2 linked regions of the Arabidopsis thaliana genome follow. The protein of the gene in region 2 interacts with the protein of the main gene of each other region in a pairwise test. Each region holds a gene or a part of one and is shown on either strand. Other genes may lie near its edges.

The links. The genes of interacting proteins can lie anywhere in the genome.
Region 1: the proteins of AT3G07260 (region 2) and AT4G00390 interact in a two-hybrid assay, tested with the Arabidopsis thaliana proteins (one large-scale study listed by BioGRID).

What each region holds. Positions count from the first base shown.
Region 1 is NC_003075.7:169,441-176,246, forward strand, and holds AT4G00390 (DNA-binding storekeeper protein-related transcriptional regulator), read right to left. Parts: upstream 3,406-6,806; 5' UTR 3,305-3,405; coding exon 2,210-3,304; 3' UTR 2,047-2,209; downstream 1-2,046. Other genes in the region: FDM2 (XH/XS domain-containing protein), read left to right, coding at 1-264, 367-579, 778-1,008; GPAT8 (glycerol-3-phosphate acyltransferase 8), read right to left, coding at 4,872-5,275, 5,622-6,096, 6,599-6,806.
Region 2 is NC_003074.8:2,305,669-2,312,644, forward strand, and holds AT3G07260 (SMAD/FHA domain-containing protein), read left to right. Parts: upstream 1-3,940; 5' UTR 3,941-4,035; coding exon 4,036-4,618; intron 4,619-4,789; coding exon 4,790-4,962; 3' UTR 4,963-5,315; downstream 5,316-6,976. Other genes in the region: AT3G07250 (RNA-binding (RRM-RBD-RNP motif) domain nuclear transport factor 2 family protein), read right to left, coding at 1-137, 228-480, 560-694, 777-803; AT3G07255 (nuclear transport factor 2/RNA recognition motif protein), read right to left, coding at 1,621-2,048, 2,205-2,658. UniProt on the Arabidopsis thaliana protein: May play a role in the control of plant organ development. Does not show transactivation activity in yeast.

The DNA.
Region 1 (6,806 bases), on a different chromosome or scaffold from region 2:
AAGATCCTTCTGCTTGAGAAGCAGCTAGACACCAAACAGACACTGGAAATGGAGATTCAAGAGCTAAAAGGCAAATTACAAGTGATGAAGCATCTGGGGGATGATGATGATGAGGCGGTCCAGACGAAAATGAAAGAGATGAATGATGAGCTGGATGACAAGAAAGCTGAGTTAGAAGATCTAGAAAGTATGAACTCAGTCCTGATGACAAAAGAACGCCAAAGCAATGATGAGATACAAGCAGCGCGGCAAAAAATGATTGCGGTACAGATTTCTAATGCTTTAGTGTTCTTGGGTACTGATAGAGTTGCATTTTTGCCATTATCTAGTATTTTAGAATACTCAAAAGATTGCTCTTTGATCCAGGGTTTGACAGGATTGTTGGGTGCCGAGAGCGATATCGGAGTAAAAAGGATGGGAGAACTTGATGAGAAACCTTTCCTGGATGTTTGCAAGCTGAGATATTCTGCAAATGAAGCTAGGGTTGAAGCTGCCACCCTTTGCTCTACATGGAAGGAGAACCTTAAGAATCCATCATGGCAACCATTCAAGCGTGAAGGAACCGGGGACGGAGCAGAGGTAGGTTCATTCCTTTTACAAGTCTTTTATATGACTTTGAAAAGTATCTGGTCTTTCTCCCTCTCTGGGCCACTGTTTTAGTTAAATATGGAGTAACCTGTGATTTCTGTGAACGTTGATACTTGTATACATATGTTGGTACAACTGTTTTTGTTTTTGTGAGTTAGCGGTAATGGTGTTAGATGTTAATGGTTACAGGAAGTGGTAGACGAGGATGATGAGCAGCTGAAGAAGCTTAAAAGAGAGTGGGGAAAAGAGGTGCATAACGCAGTAAAAGCAGCTCTTGTGGAGATGAATGAGTATAATGCAAGTGGTCGGTACCCGACTTCAGAACTGTGGAACTTCAAAGAAGGAAGAAAAGCCACTCTCAAGGAAGTGATTACGTTCATTTCAACCGACATAAAAAATCTGAAACGCAAAAGAACCTGAAGGTATGCTAAATCTTCTTCAGTTGACACAGGTCTCCTTATATAGCTTATATAGTAATGTGCTGGTCCAAAACTACGTACACTACATAATCCGAGAAACGTGTAAAAGGTTTAGGGTAGAAACTCGTCAAGAAAATACTGCAGAGGCATGATCTCTTTTGTTGACTTCAGTTAAAGAACTTGTCAATTATGATCTGGTCTGGCTTTGGTCTTGCGCCATTTTGATTTGAACTGAAGAATCCAATGGTCTTCTACTTTTGGTTGCAGGATTGGAGAAGCAGGAAGAAGAAGAAGAATATTAAATGGTTAAGCTTTTTGTCTAATAAAATTATTAGGATGCTCGTATGCTCTCTATGGAGACTAATTTCTTAAACCTTTTGATTTGAAAGAATTCGAATCTGTAATTATTGTAATCTTGGTTTATGCTTTTTGTTTTAAGTTCTTGTTAAAAGCCACCTAAAATGATGATCAAACAAGTTTGTGTTAAGATTATTTTGGCATGTAACATAGTCAATAATCTTTTTATTAAGGTTTCTTCTTGGCTTATTTTGGACGAGTTAGGCAGTATCTTAATAGTAGTAACAAAGCTTTAGTTTTTGTAGTTCATAAGTCAAAAGCTTTGAACAAAACAGTGTTATCTTCTATACCAGACACAAAAACTGTGTTGTTTATATAGTTAAATCATCCTGAAGCAATGTGACTAAATTTTTTGTAACCAAGCTATATTTGCATTGCTATGGTCTTGTTTTGTGACCAACAGACTTGGATGCAAAGTAGGTATAACTTGCTAAATGTCTGATTTTGGAAATAACTTATGAAGAGAAAATCTTCATTTGGTAAGAGTTGTTTTCTCAATGTAACAGTTTACTCATCATTTTCAAACTCCAACTCTCACAGAACACAATCAAGTTACAAAGTGCAGATGCTTATGGTTGGGAAGCTTTACCTAACAATGGTACAAGGCGGTTTTGTCAGGAACATAGATTCGTTCTTGGAGTTGGTACAAGAACTTCTAAAAGACAAAGATGAGGTATAATAAGGACAAGTTGACGAATAAAAAAATAAATATTATAACGTAGAGAATCTTTCAACCCCAAAAAAACAAACCAGAAAGAATCAAATCCTAAATCCGAAAAACAAAAGAAAGCATTATGCATAGCATTACGATACAAAAAACCGACAAATCTAAGTAACTAGTAGCTCTAGTTCTTCGAAGCATCAACGAAGTAAGACGTAAGGTCAGTCAAACGCACACTCTTATCCAACATAGCCTCAAGCTCTTTAGCTTGCATCAACTGAAACTTCTCTTCAACAATCTTCTTAGTCTCAAGAGTAAACGAACTCCATTTCTGCCTCACATAATACTCATCAATACCCGAACCAGCAATCATCCTAGCAAGAGACGACTTCTCAAACCAATCATCTCCATTAGTTGAAGAAACACCAACAAACGCCAAGTCTTGCTTTACAGAATCAAGCTTCTCCTTCGTCTTACTCGCACTCTTTTTCGACACACCGTTGGACTTAGCATTAGAATCAAGAGCTATTCCTTTAGGTCCCCAAATAAACTTTGACAATTCAAAAGCTTTCTTATCATGAGCTTTCACAAACCTAGGTTCGTCCTTTCCTTCTTTAGCACGGTACTTCTTCCTTAAACTCCTAACCTTATCCGAGAATTGACTCTTACTAACCTCAAAGCTGATAGATTTCTTCTGGAACTCGTAAAACGCATTAGTATCTGCGGAAGGAGACTTCCCTGTATCAGCATGATAATCTATCATTCCTTGTAACATAGAGATTTCGTCATCGTCACTCCATAGTCTTTGAAAAAGTGCTGGCTTCTTTACACTCTCTTCATCTTTCTTGACTCGTTTCGTTGAAGTCGTCGCAGCTTCACTCGCTGCCCTCTTTGCTCCAGATTTCACCGCCGGTAAAGCTAAAGTAGCAGTCGACGACGACGGATCATCTTTCTTCTTTGAAGCGATTGTTTTACCGGATCCAGATTTCGGAGGATCCGTCGATTCAGAATCCGAATCTGTTTCACTCTCCGAACCAGAATCGGAATCAGCAGCGGCGGAGACGGCGGTGGATTTAGAAGGAGCAGCGGCGGAGACGGAGGTGGATTTAGCTGGAGTAGCGGCGGAGACGGCGGTGGATTTAGCAGGAGCAGCGGCGGTTGTGGCGGGAAGGGATTTGATTGGTTCGTCTTCTTCAGATGAAGAGGAATCATCTTCGGAAGTCTCGACGTCATCTTCGTCGCTTGAAGGTGCCGTTGGTGGATCGAGTTTCTTCGTCATCGGAAGTTTCAAAAGAGCAAATCGGAATTTTCGAGAGAAAGAGAAGATGAGAAGCTTCTTAGGGTTTGTGAGGAAGATGAGAAGCTTCTTAGGGTTTGTGACGAAACGATGATAAGTGAAAAGGAATATTTATAATCAATTTCGATATTCTCAAACAATAATTGCGAAATTTGCTTTCCTTATTCAAATCGTTTCATATTTCCAATGTAGCAGTTCCCGTTAAAATTCCATTGTTCTATGAGTTAAACAATTAATATTGTCATTAAATTAAGATTCTAAATCTCAAAGAATATTATTTGTTAAGTTTTATAATCTTATTATATAAAAATTTTTGATTTGTCTAATGTTAGAAATTGTAATGAAAGAGTAATTTAGGTTTAGGTCATGACATTAATGACTAATCATAATAAGTACAATTTCACATTTTTGCTTATTATATACAAATCTTTGATTTGCCTAATGTTCCCATGGATCTCATTCTCATACAAATCATAATAAGATCTCATTCTCATGGATCTCATTCTCATTAACAAATATTTGGTGAAGGAGTTTAATATTATGTATAATTAAAGCCCACTAAAAACTAATATAGAAATTGTAATGAAAGAATAATTTAGGTTTAGATCATGACATTAATGACAAATCATAATAAGTATAATTTCACATTTTTGCTTCACATATTTTCGCACTGTAATGATTTTTTTGCTTTCATTTCATTTTTCTGTTAATTGTATATATACAGAAATATCTATATACAGAAATATATTCATTTCTTACTGCCAATGTTTATAAAATCATCCCAAAAAATACAGGAATATGAGTTTCTTTTTAATGAATTGGCACCAATAATATAATACATCAAATCCCAAGTTTTCGTCTGTTACTTAAATGATGATAATGTAGACATTTTTACATTGGAACTCAAAATTCATGATCTCTTGTCCGCCAACACTCTCATGATGATAATGTAGACATTTCTACGTTGGAACTCAAAATTCATGATCTCTCGTCTGCTACACTCTCATATTGATATCACCATTTTTCAATTCGGTAAAACGAATCTAATTTCTCTAAAAATAAAAGAAATTATGACAGTGTAATAAAAAGTTTTTTTGTTTTTTTGTCAAGAGATTTTTTATAAAAGCGTATAGTTAACAATGATCTTATTTAGTTTGTTAAAAATTTAATTATTTTTTTCAAAAAATTGCTACTTTTGCAACAAAAAAAAACCATAATTAATCATTCACAATTCCACCGAAACATAGTTTTATTCAAACATATATACGTCGTATGTATTTACATTTGCATGATCCAAAATTTACTTCCTCCAATAAAATTTTGCACTTTAAATAGAAAGTCTCTATACACATCCGTATAGAAACGGGATCACAAAATAGTTTTTAAGGATATAGTTACCCGTTCGACATTAAGAACAAAATAGAATAAACATAACAATAACGTACCATAATGATGACAAGAGCTCAAGCAATTACACACATGAAAATTCGTATATGATCCAACCTTACTTGCAATAAGTCAATGCCAAGTTATAACAAGAATAAGATATTCACTTCTTGGTGTTGTTGATAGACTCCACCTTGCCGTCATTACCTCCAAGCAAAAGATATTTATCCTTGCGAGTAAGTTCGGTGCATTCGAAGCCCAAAACCGCGCCGATAACTTTCTGGACGTAATTAGCCACCTCTATAGGAGTCTTGCCACCACCGTTGACAGTCATTTCTTCAGGCAAACGATCCAAGAAAGTGGCTTCATAGCTTGGTCTTGGGTTCATGAAGAAGAAGTAAGGGTCCCAAAACTTCACACCCCTAACTGTGGTCCCGTTGAACATTCCTTGTTTACAGTTCATCGCTACTGGCACAATCCGGTCGCTTAGCTCTGCGAATAGAGCGCTAAATCTCAGTAGATACTCTTCTCTACACGTCGTGCCTTCCGGACATATCACCAAGTCGCCTGTTATACACCAAAAACATATCATTAGCTCAACAACTCCATTGATTTTTAATTTCTCAACTAAAGATTAATGTGAATGTAAGTCAATATTCAAAAGAAGTAAACAATATTATTTTATGTTCATTTATATAAATTTGGTTAGAAGATGCGTTAATTAGGTACCAAAGTAAACATCAAAGACCATACCAAAGTAATATTTACTATATTGAGATTTGCATGGGCTACTATATATGTATTCATCGAAAAATAAAAAGAAAGAAATAGAAACTCCTATTGAACCCCCTGGACAGTGAAACTTGTTATAGGTATGCTCTAGTAATATATGATGAGAAGATGTGTAAAGTACCTTTCTCGAGAAGTTTTCTCATGTTGGCAGCATCGGTGGCACGGTCACGGGTGAGGGCAACAGCAGGAATAGGAGAAAGCATAAGGGAGAGACGAGAGACACTGTAAGTGACGCAACAGATCTTACGTCCAAGAGCAATAGCAACGATGATGGGATCAAGCGCGGTACGGTGGTTAAGGACATAGAGGTTGCCAAGAGTTCCAGGGGAAGGAGGTGGAGGACGATGACCACGAATGGTTAAGTGGATCCCGAGCATCTCGTAAGTGTAACGGACAAATCTTTCAGGTAAAGGGAGGTTGAAGTAGACGCGAATGATGGAGAGGATGAAACCAAAAGGAAGCCATAGGTATGTGATAATGGCGTTTAACGGAGTTGGACGTTGCGCTAAACGCCCATCATGGAAGACTATGCGGTTCTTTAAGCGTTCTTTTGGAATCGTTGTGGCTGACTTGGTCGCATGAACCATGTAACCTTTCTGTTATAATACCAAAAACGTTATTCATTTCAAACTTATAACTAAAAGTACTAGGAAAATGTAACATATCTCTAAATTGTGTAATCAAGATTCAAAAAACTAAGCATTAAACAACAGAAGATTGTTTATGATATTTCAAGTATGTGTTCATTAAATGGACAGCCCAAAATGTTGGTGGAACTAGTAAGGTGGTTGGGGATAGAAAAATAATCCAGAGGGTCACGTGAAGTGATTGGTTGGATACATTTATGAACCTTACTAATTGCTTCCAAATCAAAAATTTCATTATTTTTATAAGATTCACGCGTAGACATAATGACACTAAACCAGTCAACAAGTTAAATTAGATTATCTAGCTTAATCAACAAGCAAATCAAACGTTTGCTTAGATTCTCAAGTTACCTCCAAAACACATCTTACACTAAACCAATCAACACTCAATAATTCAACTTAACTTTACCCTATAATCGACCAAGATTGGATAAAAAGATTGGAACAGTACCTTGCAGAGAGACATGAAATCATGATCAGAGGTTCGATCACCGAGGCCGAGATCAGGTGATTCGTTACCAAACTCTTTTAAAATGGCTAACCTCTTAAGATCACCAACAAGAACACCAGGCTTCTTCACAAATCCAGTGGCTCTATTGGTTTTAGGGTTAACTTCAATCTCTGTTCCCAAAACTTTATCACCTCCAAGATAATCCTTC
Region 2 (6,976 bases):
ATCTAGAGGAAGTTTTTTAGCGCAAATGGCTGCACCCTCAGAAGCACAAGATAGCTTGGGAACATTATCAAAACCATGATTTGGTTCAGAAACTCTCAGAGCAGCTCCCTCCGTTTCTGGAACTTTCTCCTCTATGACTGAACCATTCGCATTAAACCAAGATCTTAGACACTTACTTCCTCGCAAAGCAAAATATGGAGGCTGCTTATAATTGAACTGTTACTCACCATCATTAGCAGGAGGAATGGCTGCATTGGCCTCGGGTATATCAACAAACCTGAACATGTCGGTGCAAACAATGTAGCCTTTTTCTTGGGGAACAAGAAAGAAAACTTGTGTGAAGTGCCTTGCAGGTCTCTCGTTGAAAGTGAGGTAGCCATAAACAACGACGAGGATACCCTGCTTAAGAGAGTCTTGGGACGTGACGCTGGTTATCTTAACCGAATCAAAACTACCAGGAGATCGCCATTTAAGATCTTTCTGTTCCAAGATTAGGAATCATTCAAGAGAACAAAGATTTCACCAAAGTTACTAAGTCAATCAGGAAAAGTATCTTTACCGATAAAGTGAAGACACGCATCGTTCCATCTAGTCCAGGCCGTGAAATCGTACTCTTATCTTTATAAAGCTTATAGAGATTCTCCGGGGCGTTTTGCAAGGTGTTATAGTACTGCCTTGCAAACTCATCCCCCACCTACGTTTATACAGAGAGTTACAATCACAGGACAATGAAATCCGAAGAACAGAGCATACAGTTGTTGGATCCTATATACCACCTTTGCAGTATTTGGACGAGGATCCATCGATACAGAGAATATGCAATGCCCTGTATCTCAAATCAAGTTCCAAACGCAAAATCGTTAGATCTTGCGAACATAATCATAAAAGAAATGGTGAGAAGCAGCGGCTAACACAAAAGAAATGACTTATTTGTTAAGAAATGACGAAAGAAGTATAGAGATTGTCTTCACGTTTCACTAAATCAAAAGCAAAAGATGCATCGCTGATCTAATCCTCGAACCAACGATAAACCGGAATCGCTGAAAGAAGACTCACCTGAAATTACAGCGAAGTAGTGAAGAAGATTGAATATGAGTATTGAGTAGCTCCGAGTTCTTCCACACCCACTCCAATGGCGGTTCCTACGGTTATTCACCAGAAGGAAGAACAGAGGAAGAGACGAAGAGCGCGAGAGAAAGAAGGTGCTGAGAATTTCTTTTTATTTGGATTTTTCGTCCTATTTATGCAATTTCATAAAATGTTTATATTTACATTTGTTGCCACTAATCGTTGAGCGTTTTCGTTTGTTTGTTAGTAAAATCTGTTACTTTTTAACTGCTTTATTACTAGAGAATATTTGTTGACGAATTCAAACCATATGAAATTGCATAAATAAACAAATATATATACAACTACACGAATTCTTCACTTTTACTGATACGTTAATAAGAGAGACAATGCAACAAATTAAGTGTAAAATTAGTTGAAAAATGTCAAGGAAAAACAAAACTCTAAGAAAATCATGGATGGAGAGTCCCTTCGAACTCAAAACGTCCATCGGTGAAACTTATATACACAAAAACGAGACAAAAAGAGTAACAAAATATGTAAATTTGTAGTTCACAAAGTTGAGGGAACAACGGTTATATGCCTCAACGGATGCGACACATTAGTCCCACCGGCGTGAACGATGAACTCAGCCGGCGAGAAAGACGTTCCATGGCAGACGCAGATTATACTGATCTCTGATTTTGAGTAACGGTATAGAAAACCATTTACGGTTTTGCCCTCGGGACCGTTACCGGTGCTAGTCACGCAAGGCATCTGAGCAAACGGAAGCAAACTGCCGTTACCGTTACTGTTGGTATGCGGTTTTGGCGGCTTCCCACTCTCTTTGGTTACAGAAGAGTTGGACCATTCTTGGGTCTCCGCGTCTTTTGAACCGTCTGTGTTATGCACGGTTTGCTCTGTACCGGTCAGAATGTTGTTAACCGGAGATCTAACCTGTTTGGTTTGGCCAGATTGTGCCCCAATGTCGCCACTTCCACCTGAACATTAACCATAATTCAAAATCATCTACATGCAAATAGCATAATTTTCGTGATTCTTTAACAGAATCAACACATCGAATTATATACTAAAAAAAAACTATATACATATACCAACCAATTTTAGTTTATTTTTAAAAGAAGGTTGTTATATACCTTCTTGGCGAGAAGAGCTGCTAGGATCGGATACGGAGGAGGAGGTGCAAATGGGTGACCCAATCGTAACGTCTTTACTGCTTTCCTTGAGTCGACCCGACCCGTAACCGTTACACATGTTGATAGAGCTCAAATCCATATCATCGCCGTTACTAACTCCGTTATATTCTGTTCTGATCCTCTTGCACTCTCCTTCTTCTCCGCTTCTCTGCTGCTGCTTCGCCTCCCGCTTCTTCCGTGTTTCCTTTATCCTCGTCACATTCGTCGTTCTGCCGTCAAGATTAACGCCGTTATCCTTCTCGAATCCGACGGCGTTAGATTGTCCAAATGTTTTAGATTTCTCCGTTTTCTTGAAAGGACCTCCCAGGGAAAGACATAGCTCGAGCTCGAGCTCGACCTCCACATTCTCATCTTCTACAAACTTTTCTGCCATTGATAAAGATTCAACAAACATATAATGTCAAAAAGATGGTCTCTTGTCTTCCGCAAAATTTTCCTCTTGAAGGGTTTTGAAGCTTCGCCAACTTTGTTGTATGAGAAAGGAATATTATAAGGGGCGGAGATAATTAAAAAGAGAATGGTAAAGGCTTCGGAACATGACACATGTCCGATAAGGATAGTGGACATGGGCGGTTTCAAAATTCACTAAGAGAAAGGTTAAGAAACTTTATTAGCGCTACAATTTCGGATTATCGATAAACGCTTTCCATTTATTTTGTTGGTTTCTATTTCCATTGGTTGTAAAAATCAAGTAAAATTTTGACGAAAAGTACCGAGACGCCACGTGTAACACGTGCATGGAAACAGTTAACACGTGTACACTGAGATCCTGCTGGCTTTGACGAGGACACGTTGGGTGTTTTGAATTCTTGTGTTCGTATCTGACTCCGCGAATCTCGAGCATAAACACGACCCCGGGATTGACATGTGGCGACCATCTTCGAGAGACAGTGCAATAGGTTAGACAGTCCAGGTCAGCAAATGACGCCGTAACGGTTATTCTCATCTGATGTGTGTCGACGTGGTTCATGTTTGGCTGGCTTCATGGGCACGTGCTAGATGACAAATGGCTGTAAAGAATTATGTTGAGTAGATAGATGACTCGTGTCTTTATTCGAATAGTGGAATAGCTTGTTGAAGTTGCTTTATTATAGCTTGGCTATCACAAGTTCCAGCCTTACTCTTGCATGAATTGCACCTGGAAAGTGGAAAGAGGATTGAGACTATTTGAATTGTTGACAAGAAAAACAAAGGAAGATTCTGCGAATACACTGTGGAATATAGCAAATGTTCTTTTCTCGTTGTGATTTTTTCGGTTGATTAAATGTTTAACAAAATGTAAAGCAAAGATTCTAGAAAAAGAAAACCATTCTTGACTTTGCTATTTCTTTGACAAAAATGTGACGATATTCTTATGAACTTTTCATCATATTTTATCATCATAATTTCAAGCCTTACGGTTATCACATGATCCATATTCATGTCAATGTCATGCTTATCCCCGAATATTACATACTACTGGGTTTATGTACATAAGATCCGGTTCACGTTAATGGGCTGATGCTTTTTAGATAAGGCCCAACTAAAGCTGTTTCTTTTGTTAGCCGTGGAAACAAACTGCCCGTTTTGATTTGATCGCCGTAAGGCCCGTAACATTGACAGTGGAGAGGCTGAAAACATGATGGGTATAATAGTCATTTACTTGAGAAGCCTTTATATTTTTCATTGTACGGTTTAACCACAACATATCTAAACCGGTTTCCAAACACATTCTATTACTATGTAACCCCAAATTTGATCTCCGACTTCAAAATCGGAGAAATTTCACGGCATGGCTACAGCCGTTGGAAGCGGGAGCGATGTAGAGGTTGGATTTGCGAAGCTCCAAGGTGAGGATTTCGAGTACTATATGCAGTCTTACTCCATTATTCTCGGCCGGAATTCTAAGAAATCGACCGTCGACGTCGACCTCTCATCTCTCGGCGGTGGGATGAACATTTCTCGCAACCACGCTCGGATCTTCTATGACTTCACTAGACGACGCTTCTCTCTCGAGGTACTTGGCAAAAATGGCTGCTTCGTTGAAGGTGTCCTCCATCTCCCTGGGAACCCCAACGTCAAGCTCGATTCACAGGACCTTTTGCAGATTGGTGACAAGGAGTTCTACTTCCTGCTTCCGGTTTGGAGTATCCTAGGCGGTCCATTGGGACCCAGGCACCACGTCTTAGGGAAGGCTACTGTTGTTCCGTACCATAATTATCATTCGGGTCCAGGTTCCGGGTCGGGTAAGAATGGCGTCCGGAGTAGAGAGTTGTATGAGTACGATGATGAAGACGACGATGAAGAGGAGGATATCAGAGGCAGTGGAAAGAAAACATGGAGAGATGGACATGAAGGAGTATATGCCTCTGGAGGTAAAACCAAATTGCTCATGATAGCTTAACTTCATTGTGTCACTAAATAGATTTCAGGCTTGTTCTAGACTTTGAGTATAAGTTTTACTGTGGTGGTTGATGATTGAACCTTGTTAGACTTAGATTGAATGATAGTGACACCACGACATTGTATCTGCTTCATTTGTGCAGAGAAGAAGAGAGAGGGAAGATCAAAGGCAGATCGTGAAGCTGATGATCAACAATTTTTGCAGCTAATGCATGGTAGTGGTTGGTCTGTGACAGATATTAAAGGAGTATGGAAACGTATGGCATCACAGTCGAGTAAGAAGATACCTATCACAAGAAGACTGGGCTATCCCTGAAGCAAAAGGTAAACCATGGTACGGTTTGCTGATGCTGCTGAGAAAATACCCGGAGCATTTCGTCATCAACACGAGATCAAAGGGAAGAGTTACCCTTGAATTCGTTTCCCTCGTTACCCTACTCTCATAATCATCGAGATGATTGTTAGTGCAGGAGCAGGATGATTGGTAGTATATCTTTTATGTTTCCACGTAATGAGTGTATAAGTGGGTGTTAGGTGTTTTGACCTTGGTGACTCGTCGGATTAAGTTTTTCTCGCTTTTCTTTGTTACGTTGTATATGTAGAATGACAATGACATTGATGAGTAAAACACTCTCGGATTTAACCTTTTCTCTCTCTTCAAGAAATCGCATAAGCTATTTTCAGCCATATACATACTATAGCCTATATGGCTATTCAACATTAATACACTCTCGGGTAAATTTAACCTTTTAGTTGTTTTCTTATGGCGAAAGCGGATTTGGTTTGCATATTATTTAGTTGAAAAGAAAAATCAAACGAGAAAATATATCACAACCCAAAAGTATACTATACAAAATTCAGATAAAGTTGTCTCAAAAGTACTATGCATAGTACAGATAAAGTTGTCGGAAGGAAATATTAGTATGATTTTCCCCGTCTCATTACTGTACATCACTTAGTCAACGCATACACTGTTAAAAGTCAACACATACAATCATTCAAAAACGTTTGGAGTTTAACACATAACACATCACAAGAGTGATCATCACAAATTAGAAGTTTATTTTACAAACTTGAGCCTATTAAGTTTTTACTTTTTGGCCTAATGAAAATTGAAACCACTTTATTCAAACCCAAAAATCAACTTTCTTCTCTTGTTTTATCGGTGGTCAAGATCTAGGCTGTTCGCAATAACATTTATTATTTTTTTTTCCAATAATTTCGTCTTTAGTACCAACTTTCGTTTTATATATTGCTGCCGTACAACTTGCACTTGCTTACATGTTTATTTGTCTACAAATTATTACTTAAAAGTTAAAACAATATACAGAGAAATCTCCCTAAGTTATTGAGTGATAGTTTTAAGTTTTTTTTGTGAGATAAATTAATTACTATTTAGTATTTTACGTAGGTTTTGGTAAGATTCTTCGATTTTTTTTTTACTTACAAAAACAATAGAAAAAGACTGATGCATGACAAAATTCTTAGAAAAAAAAACTGATGCATATGATAACGTGAGTGAAGTTGGTGCTTAGAGTTGCTAATATTAATATATATATATATATATATATATATATATATATTGAGTGAAGTTTTTTTTTTTTTTTTTTCAATCATTGAGTGAAGTTTTTTTCTTCTTTTCTTTTCTTTTTTAATCTTCTGCTGCAGTCACAAACTCACAGTGATTGTAAAGCTGAAGTTTGTTTCCAGGCTCATTAGTCATTACCCTTGCTACAAAATTAGATTAGCATCAAAATTAATTAGTAAGTATTTAACCTAGGTTTTGATAAGATTCTTGTATTTGGTTTTCTTATCACCTCGAAATTTCCAATTTTGTTTGATTAAAAAGGATATAAGAAACAATAGGAAAACGTGCTTGTGGCATGCAACGTTGTTTTTTTTTTAGATACAGATACAAGGCTATTTTCTAAATTCAAAATCTTAATCCGACCAAATTTAAATCTATAAAAGTGATTGGTTACAGACACTATTTTACTTTTTTGTCTTTTTCAAGAAGTTATTTGGATTTTCAAAATTACAGCATTAATTAAAATAGTAAACATATGTTAAAAGCCTAGGCGGATAAGTGAAAATATGATTTAAAACATTTCTAATGCATATTTTATTTTATTTTAAAGGAGATTTTAAAATATAGAGAATAATTCAATGTGCCTTTATTTTATTTTAGAGAAAATTCTATTTTAGATATATATAATGGACTAAAATTTTTTATATAAAAAAAAATTTCTTAAATAAAAAATAATATAAAAATGAACATTGGAGATGGTCCGTAAAAAAAATGGAATATTGGAGATGATCTTGTTTAAATA